3 linked regions of the Arabidopsis thaliana genome follow. Each later gene encodes a partner of the first gene's protein in a complex. Each region holds a gene or a part of one and is shown in the gene's direction. Other genes may lie near its edges.

Evidence for each region.
Region 2: AT3G10820 (region 1) and AT4G09070 share a complex: the UniProt entries of both Arabidopsis thaliana proteins name them as parts of the mediator complex.
Region 3: AT3G10820 (region 1) and AT5G03500 share a complex: the UniProt entries of both Arabidopsis thaliana proteins name them as parts of the mediator complex.

The regions. Positions count from the first base shown.
Region 1 is NC_003074.8:3,385,669-3,392,260, forward strand, and holds AT3G10820 (Transcription elongation factor (TFIIS) family protein), read left to right. Parts: upstream 1-1,531; 5' UTR 1,532-1,689; coding exon 1,690-2,058; intron 2,059-2,169; coding exon 2,170-2,238; intron 2,239-2,351; coding exon 2,352-2,434; intron 2,435-2,731; coding exon 2,732-2,784; intron 2,785-2,862; coding exon 2,863-2,984; intron 2,985-3,096; coding exon 3,097-3,124; intron 3,125-3,208; coding exon 3,209-3,492; intron 3,493-3,576; coding exon 3,577-3,658; intron 3,659-3,742; coding exon 3,743-3,836; coding exon of another isoform or gene 3,837-3,837; exon of another isoform or gene 3,838-3,960; coding exon 3,961-3,994; exon of another isoform or gene 3,995-4,240; coding exon 4,241-4,308; intron 4,309-4,484; exon of another isoform or gene 4,485-4,568; coding exon 4,569-5,025; 3' UTR 5,026-5,335; downstream 5,336-6,592. Other genes in the region: AT3G10840 (alpha/beta-Hydrolases superfamily protein), read right to left, coding at 5,539-5,768, 5,885-6,008, 6,105-6,203, 6,311-6,592. UniProt on the Arabidopsis thaliana protein: Component of the Mediator complex, a coactivator involved in the regulated transcription of nearly all RNA polymerase II-dependent genes.
Region 2 is NC_003075.7:5,800,527-5,804,217, forward strand, and holds AT4G09070 (TATA-binding related factor (TRF) of subunit 20 of Mediator complex), read left to right. Parts: upstream 1-1,781; coding exon 1,782-1,795; intron 1,796-1,894; coding exon 1,895-2,306; intron 2,307-2,632; coding exon 2,633-2,866; downstream 2,867-3,691. UniProt on the Arabidopsis thaliana protein: Component of the Mediator complex, a coactivator involved in the regulated transcription of nearly all RNA polymerase II-dependent genes.
Region 3 is NC_003076.8:875,615-880,035, reverse strand, and holds AT5G03500 (Mediator complex, subunit Med7), read left to right. Parts: upstream 1-1,660; 5' UTR 1,661-2,262; coding exon 2,263-2,286; exon of another isoform or gene 2,287-2,369; coding exon 2,370-2,510; intron 2,511-2,592; coding exon 2,593-2,662; intron 2,663-2,835; coding exon 2,836-3,002; intron 3,003-3,091; coding exon 3,092-3,165; intron 3,166-3,302; coding exon 3,303-3,363; 3' UTR 3,364-3,596; downstream 3,597-4,421. UniProt on the Arabidopsis thaliana protein: Component of the Mediator complex, a coactivator involved in the regulated transcription of nearly all RNA polymerase II-dependent genes.

The DNA.
Region 1 (6,592 bases):
AAAAAGATTAAAATAACTCATCGTTTGTAACTCTACTGGTGACTAAGTAACATAAATTCCGGACGGAACAAGGCTTCAAGATCACAAGCCAACGAATTTCAAAGTTGGAAAATGAACTAAATTCGAAGAGATATTATGAGTTAAAAGTCCGAAACTGTTTTGTTATATTAATTTAAAATAGGTTTTACAATTTTAGATATATAAGCCCTAAACAACTTTCACAAATCCAAAATGGATACACTAGAAGCACAATTTGAAAGATACATAAAACACTGAACCCTTACAAACACATGACAAGAAATCGATTAAAAGGCCTTTAGATTCAAATCAAACGCAAATGACGTAGAAACAAATAGTCAAATACAAGTAGTGTTTAAGCTCCATAGCTTAATCTTTGACCCCGTGATCTTGCTTTTGCATAGTAGCTATTTTTGTAGAACCAAAATTATGCAGAAATTTTTACACTGAACCAAAACAAAAATATGCAGAAACAAGATCATGCATGGGTTTTAACATTAAACCAAAAAAAGATCATGAATGAGTCAAAGATTAAGCTATGGAGCATAAACGATAACATGTGATCGGTGGAAACAAAACGAATCATGCAAGTATGGCTTACCGGAGTTAAAATGGATTGATCCGACAAACTTGTGAATCTCCAAGTGCTGAAAGAATATTTAAAATAGAAGAAAAGGAAACTTTTGGAAGAAGAGAAGTCTTTAACGCAACTGAAAATAGAGTCGAGGATGATATCGACGACGAAACTTCAAAAGACAGCTTCAACAACGGGAACATGTGGCTGAAGCTTAACAAAAGAGTCAAAGCACGAAACTAACGAGAAATTTAATGAAAAAAATACAAAAATAATAATTTAATACTAGTACTAATTAAAAAATAGTGCTAAACATCTGTGGGACTATGAACAATGCTTTTTAAAACGACATAATTGCGACACCAAAAACGCGTTTATTTAGATTACCTTTCAAGTAATTCACGTGATAAATGTAATTATCCATAACTTTGAAAAATGAGTACCCCATTGTTGGTATCAGGACATGTGTAATGTGTTAATAATTTACTATTACAGTATGCTCTGAATGTAATGTTGATAACATAACTTTAAAAAAACGAATATCCCATCTTTATACTAGCTAGGCCATGTGACGTGTTTTTCATCAAGGGTCATTATGTCATATAGGACGACACATGTATAGTCTAGTTATTACTAATTTACTATTAACTAAATAATCATTCAGTTAATCATAAGCCTATATCTTTAGAATTAATATATATATTGACAAATTCAATATTTTACTTAAATAAAACAGATGAGTTATCAAGATAAATGATCAAAACTATTACCATTTTTTTTTATAACCTAAGTTTTTTAATGTCGACATAAATTTCTGGCTTTTTAAAATTCTAGGGTCTTCTTCTCTTGCCCTCTTTTAATTGGCTCAAGCTCTGTTTCTTTAAGTTTTCTCGGGAAAGTTCTTGTGGACTTTCTGCAGAAACTTTTGTCAGATTCTCAGGCGAATTTTATTTCCTGCAGAGAAACTTAAAAAAAAAAAAAACTACACAACTAGTACTATATTGATTCGTATTCAAAAACCTAAATTCAAATTTAATTAGGGTTTTGCAGATCGAGGAATTCGGATTCCGGAATCGATTTTCCCTCGCCGTTTCGTGATGGCGAAGATGAGACCATCTGTTTCGTTGGATACTTGGAGAGAGTATTTCCGGCGAGGAGATTCTGATATTTTTGGTATCATTGATCATGCGATTATGGTAGCTGCTGCAGATTGGCCAAAGGAGTTTAAATCCAGGAGTGATAGAATTGCTGAGCTTCTCTTCTCTTGTAAAGTGAGTCGCTGCATTGGTTGTGACCACCTTGAGCTCTCGATAGCTGGAGACGAAGCGGCGGTGGAGATAGTTGGAGTTGGCGGCGGCGGTGATAGGGGTGATTCTGGTGTTGCGACGGGTGAAGGTGAAGAGGCGTCTGTGAGTGTTGATGAGGTTATGAGGATCAGAGATATCTTGTCGAACAAAGACGATGAGGTTTTTAGTCTCTTTGCTTGGATTACATTAAAACTTGTGCTAATTCATTGGTTAAATTTGGAATCTTTGTGTTGATTGTTGAGTTTTTGGTTTCTGTCATCTTTTTTGCAGAAAGATTCTGTGTTACTCGAATCTCTGAGAAAGCTTGAGTCAATGTCTATGAGTGTGGACATTCTTAAGGTTTGTTTTTTTGGTGTTGTTTTGATATTGTATGATTTGGTGTAGTGGAAGTTGCTTATTCTGATGGAGCTTTTCGAGGCTGTGGAGTGATTTAAGTGTTTACGTTCTTGCAGGATACTGAAATTGGAAAGGCTGTTAATGGTCTGAGGAGACATAGTTCCGATAAGATTAGCAAACTTGCAAAGACTCTTTTCGCGTATGAGTTTCATCATTCTCATTGTGTGCTTAGTTTCATTTGTTCTCATACTCTCGCATCTGTGATGTGAATTAAACTTTGGCAAAATGTTCCAAAAAAATTGAACCTCCACGGTTTGATTTAGATGCAAACCAGTTGCCTTGTAGGATGTCTCAAATTGTAAAATGTCATTATAAAAGCCTTGGTTGATCATTAGGGAGCTGCTCTTGTGTTAGCTCAATACTTAGAACATTTTACTCTTCCTTACTTTCTGGCTCCCGAGTATAAAGATTGTGTTTTTATATATGGGATGCACAGAGAGTGGAAGAGGCTGGTGGACCAGTGGATGAACACCCCAGAGGAAATGGCTGGTAAATAGCTCTCTCCTCCTGTTCCGTAGTCAGTGCGAGCAGGTTTTGGTCTAGATTTATAGTAATTGGGTCTTGCAGGCACTGAAGGGACGCCAGAGTCTCTAAACCTTTCAGTAATTGATGAAGAAGAAGCCTTTCCTTCTCCTCCACATGATTTAGATATCTATGCACCTGAACCTAATGGGTTTGAACTTTCTCAGGTCTATTAACATTTTTCCCTCTCATCATATTTTATTTCTGGCATAGACGAAATGTTATCCTGACAAGTTTCCTCCCTCGTCCTTGTTTCATAATGTCTTGGGTCACTTGAAGATCTTAGATTGTTTGGACTGCGATGGAAGTGAGTTAGTATACTCTTTGGTACTCTGTTCTCTACTTGAAAGTTTTCCTATATTTTGACACTCATGGTGGCCACTGTTTTCAGATCCTCGTCACAGTGTGGAGTCCAAACATGAAAGAAAATCGCAAAGTAGTGCGGGGAGGAGACCCAAGGGAACAAATGATGCAAATGTGGTTGGGAGGTACTGCAATGATCAACAGACGAGGAGAGAAGAAGCTGATGTTAGACCTATGAAGCACTCAGCCACAGATGTTGTCGAGCCTAAAAGACAAACAAAGCAAAGTAGAGAACAAATGGTATCCGCAATCCAACGAAAACCAACTGCTGTTACTGAGCAAAAGCGGAAACTTGCTGGACCTCAACAAGATGTGAGTGTTTGAGTTAATAAAGCCGTGGTGTTTGATTATTAATCTGTTTTGTTTCTAATAGCAAGTGTTCTTGTCTTTGTTCAGAAACTCAAAGCTCTGGATCCAGACTCAAAGTTTGAGTTTGCAAAGCGGAAACTCCAAGAGAGCTACCACCAACATGAGAATGGTTAGTCAAATCGTCTTAAGAGATTTCAATATTTCCACTATTACAATACACCTAATTCTTAATGACCCATTTGTTTTTGAACAGCTAAGAGACAGAGGACGATACAAGTACTGGAAACTATCCCAAAGCAAAATAAAGTTCAGAAACCGCAACTCAAGAGACCCGCCACACGAAGATAGTCCATTTTTTCCTTCGGATGATCTATACAATTACTACGACCATTCAGAGGCGTTAATATACAACAAAAGTGCATTGACAGATCCAACATAAACTTCTTAGGATGCTCTATTCTTTTGTCCCAGTATTTATTGGTACTTCTGGTCCAGTGAATTCCCGGTTTGGTCCGGTTTTGTGACAATAGAACCTCATAATTGTGACAAGGGAAAATCCCTTTTTCACTTTCTTCATGTTTCATTATGAAAATAAAAAAGAAAATTATTAGGACAAAAGGGCTTCTCGTATTTGACCATCCCTAAACCTAACTTGCGAGGCAAGCAAACTTTTTAAATCTGTTTATACAAAGATTTTGTAATTTTTAATATCACTTATGAGGTGAAATATAACAGAGTGATAAATTCCTAGGGTTACGAGTTACCTTCCCTCATCCTCAATCTCGCGAATCCTCGTGATAGTTCCTCCCAATTCTCAAGGTACCTACTTCAATTTTCCTTGTTGTAAATTTTGTTTTCCTAGTGCTAGTTATCGATAAACCTGATGGGTTAAACGTTGAGCTGTTAAGAATTCTGGCCTAGATTTTGTACGTCGGGGATACAACCGAAAGTCTTTGATTGGAAATCGAAAAGCCCTAATTTTGTGGCCTTTATTGATAAACATAAGTGAGAGCATAGGTTTGGTAAAACAATGGTCTCTGTTTGCATTGCATAGAATTGAAATTTAGCTGCATATGTAGACATGATGAGTTGATGATTGATATTCCTGTATATTTTGGACTCGTACTTGTGCAGATAGATAAAGCAGAGATGGTGGATGAGATGATGATTTTCAAGAAGATGAGTGTCCTTCTAACTGAAAAGGATTTTGTTGATGCCATCGTATCTGTTTCTCTCAAGGACCTTACGAGATCACTCTTTGTCAGGTTCGAGGCCAAGGCTTGCCCTAAGTTTGACCTTATCCATAAGACTTCCGTCGAGACGGTTAGGTGCGTAGGGAAAACCTTTATGCATATGCTCTCTAAGGTTTCTAGAGAGTTTCCTCCCCGCAATCGAACTCATCCCGGTGGCCTCCTCTATCAGCGATTTGATCCTACTCACTTGTCTCTTGCTCGCCAACAAGTTGCTATATGCAAGGAAACTGATTCACAGTATCCGCATGAGATTGTGATTCACTGGACAAGTGCAAGCGCCTGAAAGTGGATGCTCTTGGTTACATGTTTACTATTGCAATGAGATGCGCCCCTAGTTTGGCTTATCTCGAAAAGTTCAGGCAGTACATGGCTCAGGCGAATGAGAAGAATCTGGAAGATGAGACTGCTGCTACTCTGACGAACAAGAAGCATGTCGCCCTCTTGGCTGAGGAAGACTGCACAGTCCTTTGCACCCCTCGCTTTGAGTTTCAAAATGTTGCCGACTTTGTTCTTCCAGAAACTTTGCGTTGGCTTGACGAGTTGGAGCTTCAAGCCAGCTTCAAGCTCCAAGCTAATCAACTGGACTCTGCAAAACTTGCCCGCACTCGCAAGAAGCACCACATGGTGTATTATTCTCGCTTATATATCAATCTGTTGAAGAATCAATGTCTCTCGGTTATTTTATTCTATATCTATCTAGTCTTTGATATTGTCGACATTTGTTTCTTCAGGTCCAATAACATGAAGAATCTCTCTAAAATTTAGTCTTGATTGAGCTAAAATATATAGTTATACTTCATGATACAATGCCTTGGAACTTCAAGTCCACGTCTTGTTGTTGTGACCCTCCAAAAGCATTCCCTAGAAACTTTGCAACAATAGATATGAATTCATCTGGTTTTTCCTCTTGAGGAAGATGACCACATTTCTTAATTACTTCGAACACTGATCCCGGTATGGCTCGTGCCAGCCTCTCTGCGTTCCATGCTGGCACAATACGGTCCGTATCTCCCGTCACAATCAGAACTATTAGAAACATGAAGATAGTATGATGTCATTGGTTCAGAGTTCAGACATACAATGCACAATATTTGGTTCCAATTTCTAATTCATTGTCAGAATCTTATAGAAAGAGATATTACCAGGGCATTTGATTTCTTGAAGCCTTTTAGACAATGGGAGTTTTTTCTCTGAGCCATTATTATCTGTTAGTGTAGCCACCGTGAATTCCACGAGAGCTTTGTCCCATCCCTTGGCTTTAAGAGGCTGTTTTTTTTGCAACAAATACAATCAAATTTCCTAAATTTTTAACATAACAATGCAGAAGAAATAAAGAAACCTGAGAAAACCCGAAAATCTCACCTTTGTATAACCCTGCACGACATGATCCGTCACTTGTTTTGAGTCATACCACGCGTTCCTAACAGCTGTTACTCCAAATTTATTGATTGCCATCCTCACCTGGTGAAAAAAACAACCACCTTAGAAACACATCAAGTGTTCTGGTCTAACAACATATAAAAAATGACATGACTGGTGAATGAAGCCAAGACAAAAAAAAGCGGTACCAGCATTACTCCAAGGAAGGATCTGAGGAAAGCTGCTAAAGCTTTCTTGTAGAGAGAACTCAGCATATTCGCCATTCCCGTTACCACTCTCAATACTGCTCTTATAACACCTTTGGTTAACTCAACTAGAGTCCCTAGAAAGTTGCTAGTGGGAGCTTCTTTGTCACGGTTCTCTCCAGCATCAGTTGTGGCCACAGGACGGGGAGCGAATATAGCTGGAGCGACGAGAATGAGAGCAGCAACACGCTCCGGGGCTTCAAAGTAAGCATCTAAAGCTACAGG
Region 2 (3,691 bases), on another chromosome or scaffold:
CTTTTTTTTTTCTCTGTTCGGTTTGACACAATTCGGTTTTTGTTCGAGTTGGTTTTTTATTTCGGTTTTGTTTTTGTTTAAAAACGTATTTTAAATATCAACAAAAAGTGATTACCTAAAATTACAATTTAATGTCATTATATCAAACAAATAATTATCAACTAAGTAATTATTTTTCCTCTATTTTCAGCTCAATTTTTTTTATTGGTTTATTTTTATTTTTTCATCTTGACTAGTATTAAGCAAAAGCGTATCATTCAATTATATAATTGTATCAATTTCCAATTTATTTCTATATAAATTTTTCATTTTTTGAGTGTACTAGGATAAAAAAAAATTATATCATTGGGTGGAATGAAACCTTAATGTTTCATGACTATGCATAAAAAATGAACGAAAGATGAGAAGAAACATGAATCAAACCTTTATTTTTATTTAGATGATTAGATGAGATATATACATTAGGAATTTTGATTCGTTCAGTTAATTTTGTTCAGTTTCATAAAATTTAAATTTGATTTAAGGTTCAGTTCCAATAATTCTATTTATAAGATTTTAAACTATTAGTATTATTCGAATTTGGATAAGTTCGGTTAGATTCATTCATGTTTTCACCACTCATTTCCTAAGAAAACCTTTTTAAAAACAAGGTCATTTTAAGAAACACATAATTTTACACGAAGTCGTTTTAAATGAGGTAGTTTAAACGAGGTCGTTTTATCTTAGTAAAACAAACAAACTCCTATGCTTTTCTCTATATAATGCAGTGTACGAGTCTTAATTTTTCGTTATACTACGTATTCCCAAGAAGATCATCACCAGAAATCTCTTTCATCGGTAAGTGTTTCTCGCAATCTAATCTTGTATTTTGTTTTTATGGCTCGATGATTATTAAGCCTAAAAGTCTTTACTATGCCTTCAACTCATCTTTTTAAAATGATTTAGATAAGATAAAGATAAAAAGCATCGTTTTATAAACTAAATATACTTAGAAGCAGAATTGAGTTGTTTATCCGAGATGTATGAATTTTATATTTAGATTGTATTCAAGAAGTGATATATTTCATATTTGATTCGTTTAGTTAATCTGTTGTCGATCTACTACTATCACAGAACGTGTGATCCCAAACGGATACTCATAGCAGATCTAATGAATTTCTTTAGTTTTTGTAAAAAAATGTTTCTTATTTTTCAATTAATTTTGGTAAATAATTTAATTATAACATTAATTTCTTAGATTTGTTTCCTTTTTATTTAAAGTCAAAAGTTACTTTATTTTTTTCTTATAAGAATTTATATTTTCTTCCCTTTTATCTTGATAAGGGTGAGTACACTTATGTAATTGTGCACATGCACTAAAATATCTAATTATTCTCTATGTTATAATTATTTATTAAAAAATGAAATTTGTATTATGATTCCAAAGTTGATGCATATGTATTATTTTTGGTCTGTAAATTACTTTTAAAAATAAATTTTCCTTTCCATATAGACCACGTTCTATTTCAAATGAAAGAAATGATTAAAAAAATGAACTCCATTTGAGCATTTAAATGTATTTTCCTTATGAACACTGATTGAAATTCTATCAAAAAGTATTTTTTGATTAAATAATTTTTTGCTTTATTGTAAAGTTTTATCATTTTGTTTTTTGGTAAATTATATATCTGAATACAACTATATTATATAAGATATTATTGTTTGTGTATTATTGTAAATTAATAGAGATCATTTTTTTTTAATTTTGTTGTCAAGTGAAATTTGTTGTACCTCCATTAGCCATGCCCGTCAAATGGTAGGTTTGATGATTACATAAACTAAATAACCATTATTGTAATTTCTTTTATAATACGTTAACCTTTTTTCAAATTTCTTTGGGGGAATACTTTTCCAGGCTTTTGCATTGGCAACCAAATCAGGGATCAACATTTAGCAGCCAAATCCTAAACGAAGTAACACAAAGCATAGAGAGTCTCAATGGCGTCAAAGAGGGAACATGGAAAGCCACTCTCAACTATTACAAACCCATGTTGCAAGATCAGGCGAATCAAGCTGAGTTCCCGCGTGAATTTGTAGGAATTTCGCTTCCGGAGGAGCCAGATAAGTACTATTTCGTCATCAGGTCGCAAAGGATCGTCGTGGAAGCAGATTCTTCAATTCAAATGATCATGGAGAGCCTTCAGTCTTACAAATGCAAACTCTCGTTTTACTTTGAAGGGCTTGAGTATCAACTTGGGGATTTTCGTTTGAGAGTTGGTAAAGTTGTTCCTACTCATGCTGAGACCATTAGAGGCGTAGTCATGGAGGTAACAAATTTTATATCTTTTGAGTACGTTGAGATATATTAATAATCAATGTTAATGATTATCTAACACTCTAGTTAATTCATAATTTGGAGTTTGTAATGTAACTCAGTAACTAAAGGTTATTAGCTATGATTGGTAACACACATAATGACGGTTTCTAATGTGATTAGGCAGAAAATTTGTCAATTAAGAAAATTTGCATAATCTACGGTTTTCCATGCAACAAGTTTTCATTATACGAATTTTTAGTGCTATCAACTTATGCCATTATGCTATTATGCACTACTTTCATTTGAAACCTATAATTATGTGTGTGTACTATTTAGGTGGAGTATCTTCCTATATCATCAATGGGAATGGCAAAAAAATTGATGGAGGAGTTCTTGGAGATATGGCAAGAAGCTATGTCGAAAAGGTCGTTGCCGGGTAAGTTTGTGAACAAAGAACTCAACTTTGAAAAGTTTGGACTTGGAGACAACTACACTCCGCAACATACCGCTGTTGGATATGCTTTCTTCATGGCTAATTTGATGGCAGCAATTCAAGCTGGGAGAGGCTAAAGATAATACAACAAAGACTTTTATGAGTTTTTGTGGTATCATTGATTTTAGAAGTCATTAAGGATTGAAAAACAAATGGTAGTTTTAAAAAGTTGGAAGACCAATTTGTAAACTTGAGATTGGAGCAGATTGTGAATTCAGTTTCTTACCAACTTTTTGGTTTGTTTTATGACTGTGAAAACTTTATGAATCTTTTGACCCTAAACTCAATTACTGGTCACTTGTGTCTATAAAATGCATAAATAAAGCGAAAATGTTGGATTACGATTGGGCTTAGTGTTAGTTATTTGGGTCAGTCATTGAGTTGGGCTTAAGGCCCATAAATGAGAAGAATCCCAAATGCAGAATCAAAACGCAAAGAAGTTTTGGCGGTTGCGATTGCATGTTTTCTTCCAAACAGAGCTTACCGGTAGTAACAAACAATATAGAGAGAAAGAAGTGTGAGAGCTACAAGTTTGAAGAAATCGAGTAGAGAGAGAGACAGATCTAGATTCTTCTTCTTCTTCGTCTTCTTCGTCAACCTCTAGAAGACTCGTGTAGGTACGTAGCTTTGAATCTCTTCTTCTGTAACCTGAAATTTTGTTAATTCCTCTTGAGAGTGAAGCATTATCGAGTTTGATCTTCGAGAAATTGTACATAAATCGCTTGTTTCTCTCGTGTTCTTTCTTTGTACTGATTTCAAAACTTGAATCGCAAAGAACAAGCGATAAGATCAAAATCAACTACCAAAATCACTACAGAGAGCTATTTTTCTTTGGATTTTGGTTTTAAACATGTGTTTGATTACGATTCCAGACTGAAATTTGTATCTGAGTCAGTGGATTT
Region 3 (4,421 bases), on another chromosome or scaffold:
TTTTTTTAAATGATTTTCTCTTTTTTTGGTTAACTTTTGTTTTGCTTGTCTTATGAATCACATAAAAAAAAATACTAGTATTTTACTTATTAAATACTCATAAGCATCCTTATAATTTCAAAAGACACACATCATTATAGCTAAAGTAACAAAAATGTGGATTCAATGTCAACACTAATCTTAGAAGATGTTATTTTATTTTCTTTCTGAAAATGAAATTAAATCTGTGTTTTCTGTTCAAGAAGGTGTCATTCTACATATACCATTTTTTCTTATTAATAAAATGAACTACAATTTTGACACTTGGAATGTAATGTATTATATTAAGAAGAATCAAACTGGATTGCGTATTCTAAATATGCCACTCAATTTATTGATTTTTTTTCCTTTGATTTCACATTATCACTAACTAAAATCCTAAAACTTTATAAATAATTTTATATTGATGGCTTGAGTCATCCACAAGTAGTTTCAACACGAAACACAGTACCACAACACACACAATTCAAGCATATTATAAATTCCTGCAAACTTATTACGTTTTGTAACAAATTACATTAAAGATTTGAAACCAACTATTATATATAAAAGCTACTAAAGTACAAATTTAACTTGAAAATACGTCGAATTCTGTTTTTGTTTCTTAATACTACTAATCATTGCGGATATATGTACACTTAAGTTGCTGATTAAATAATTAAGTTAATTAATTGGAAAGTAAAAGGCAATCGAATTTTGGGGTCGAGCAGTTCATGTGCAGTTGAGCCAACCCACAATTACACAACACACAATTATGAATCATGATTCTAGTTATGTATACAATATTTAGTTATAATGATATTAGCTAAAACGAATTAAATATATAATATCACTCCCTATGTTTGCGCCTCTTTCTAAGAAACTTTGATTTTTATTTTGGTTATCCAATTATTTGATCAAACCATTATTAATCTTGTGATTAGCTAATAATATGTATTCGATGAAGTAACCTCCCTTATCGTAGTTTGTAACTGTAGTCTAGGTCTTTGTAGTATAGTATACTAATAAACTCGGTGACAGCAATTTATAAAATTCAAGAAACACATGTTTTTTTAATATTCATTCTACATAATGAGTTTCTTAGAGCTGGATTGATATCCAACTTTTACTCATTCAACTCTATACACATTAGTTGTCTTTGGCTCTCAATGATTATCTTTTGCTAACGTGTTACTATACATACAATAGATCATTAAGAAGAATATTTTTGAGTGTATTGTGAAGCTAGTATCATCACAATTTTAAAATGAATAAATCAGGAGGAATTGATTTAAGTCTTGGCGTCGAGGATTGTGTGTGTGAAAGAGAGATAGAGAATTGCTTGGCCGCCAAAAGAAGCCATTACTTGCCAACTAGCTAGCTTCACTACTCAACCTAAGCAAAGCATATACTTTATAAATAAATAAATAAAATCATAAACATAATTAGTCGTCACCCATCATACATTCATCATCACCATCCTAACAAAACCTTTTTTACAAGGCTTCTCAAAAACCGTTAAGTAGTTGTTGCAACTTGCAAGGATCACCTAAACAAATTATACCGAAACTTGCACAATTGAATTCCAATATTTTAAAAACATTTTTCTTTTGTCATTTGAAGCATATAAAATGGTTCTGAATTCTGATATAGGTGGGTGGAACAGAGTCTTCCCCCATATAGCAAATCCCTCAACGGCTCTAGAAATACGTTTTAAGCTTCACGAGGAATAAGAAGATTAGGAATATATGGGCTTAAAGCAGGCCTGAACTAAATTAAAGGCCCAACTAAAAGAGAGGAAACAAATCTCGATTTGCTTTCTCTGGTGAGCGTGTCTTCTTCCGATCGTCTTCTCCGGCTGCGTGAATTCTCCGCCGAGCCATCTCTCTGGCGAATCTCCAGTGAGTTCTATTATTTTCACTCTGTCTTTTATGCTTCCCGTGAAAGGGATTTTTTTATTTCTCTCCCTCAGATTCTCCTTGTCGCCACCAACTCATTCGTCTCCCTACCCATTTGTGGCCACTGGATTTTTTGTATTGACCTTTCTTTTTTCCTCATGAATCAATTGAAATCTACTGTTAAGCATTTGACGATTTTGGACAAATTGGTGGTGATTTAGGAATAACACGGTTGTGGTGGTGGCGGCTACTTCAACGTGACGATGACAGATTAGTTTCTAGTGATGACAGATTAGTTTCTAGTGGTCGCAGAGTTATTTGGTAGTGATGACATAGTTGTATTCTAATGAGAACAGATTGTTTTATGGCGGTAGACGGATTTGTTTTTGATTAGAAACCCTAATTTTAGGAATCTGTTACTGATTTTGCTTAGTTTTTGATTTGGATATGTAGAGAATAATGGCTACAGCTACATATCCACCTCCTCCTCCATATTACAGACTCTACAAGGATTTCTCAGAAAACACTGATTCTGCTCCTGAACCTCCTCCTCCGATTGAAGGCACCTACGTCTGTTTTGGAGGCAACTATACTGTGAGTCTCCTCCACATTTCCCCCTCTTTAAAATCTTCATCTTTATGTGTTTTTAGCAATTTTCAATTTTTTTGGTTAGTAGACTGAAGATGTTCTTCCAAGCTTAGAAGAACAAGGAGTGCCTCAACTTTATCCAAAAGATTCTAATCTTGGTATGTCATTCTCCTAACTCTGTGAAATCAAACTCAAAATGCAATTGCTATTGGCTGTCTAGAGTATGGTTTTTGGTTCTTCCCTTCATTGGAATCAAACTTATTACATGAGTTCATTTGCAAGTTATGTTCTTTGAAAGTACCTCTTTGAGTTCAAATATCTTTGTGTGTAGATTACAAGAAGGAACTCAGGTCACTGAATAGAGAACTACAGTTACATATATTGGAGCTTGCTGATGTTCTTGTTGACAGACCTTCTCAATATGCGAAGAGAATTGGTGAAATTTCTTCAATCTTCAAGAACTTGCATCACCTTCTCAATTCCTTGAGGCCTCACCAAGTAAAGAAGCTCTCATCTTTCGATTAATTACAACATGGTTTCAACACTTTTTGTTTTTTCATCGTTTTGATCTTTCTCTTGTTGTATAGGCGAGAGCAACGCTTATTCACATTATGGAACTTCAAATTCAACAGAGGAAACAAGCTGTGGAAGACATTAAGAGGTTTGTATATGCTACTTAAGTTTTCTGTCTTTATGGTGTGTTAATAATTTAATATCAATCTATCATCTGTTTAAAGATTCTTCAGAAGCTTTGTTGGTTGTTCTTATGGGTCCGTTTGATGTTTTGGTTGTGTGCAGGAGGAGAGAAGAAGCACAAGGACTTCTTAAGGATGCTTTCGTCACTTTAGATGGTCAATAAAGTATACTTTTTGTTAATCCCATTTTGTGTAAATTAGCGCTAATAACCTATGCCCTCGAAACTTTTTTTAATTGATCCTGTGTGTGTGAGAGAGAGAGACAGACGTGTGCAATCTCATGATTCAACAAGTAAAGCCTATATCATCTTTATTCAATGTTACCCGTGAACCGGCATTTAGTTCCGCCGGTTAGTGCGGTTCAACATTTATTATTACAATTTCGGCTTAACGGGAACTATTATAACCATAACGGATTCATAAGAAGATTAGACCAATATGGGCTTAACGCAGGGCTAAACTAAATTGAAGACCCGACAGTTTGTTCGTAACTACACGTAAGTATCTGAACAACAACAACAGCTTTATAAGGGAATCAACAAAAAATAGTTGAACAAAAAAAAATTAACCTTGTTCAAAGCTAAATCCTGTCAAATATCTTTGGAACCCTAGCAGTCGGTCTTGTCAATTTATCATCAGCATGGACGAATCCGCCATCAAAGTAATCTTCTTCTCCTTATGGACTCTCCTCTTACTCACTCTATTTCTCTTCACAAGAGGATGGAGATGAAGATTAAGATGGATATGGACAGGAGAAAGAGGATGGAGATGGAGAATTAGGAGGGAGATGGAGAATTAGGAGGAGACGAACCTCTTTGTTTTTTTATAATGTATTTACCTTTGTTTGTTTTTGTCTTTGCATGTTAAAAGTAAGTAAGCTCAGTAATCATCACCTGCCTTGATCATGTATGATATGTCATTCTCTGGATGTTAGAAAAAAACAGTAGTAAGCTTAATCTATTAACGTTATCTGCTTTCGGTATTACAATGCAACCTTGTTTTCTAATTTTTAACAAAAATGGATCCAAAGCTATCTTTGAAGGTGATTTTAAACAAGTCATTCAGTTGGTCAACGGGAAGAGTCTTAATTTTGGATTCGGGAAGCAAAAGCCTGGCGACATCGGTTTGAAGATATCCAGTTTGTTTGGACTCCAAGATCAAACAATAGTCATTTTATTATCATTTTTATGCTCCACAATTTATTATTGATGCGCTACATTAC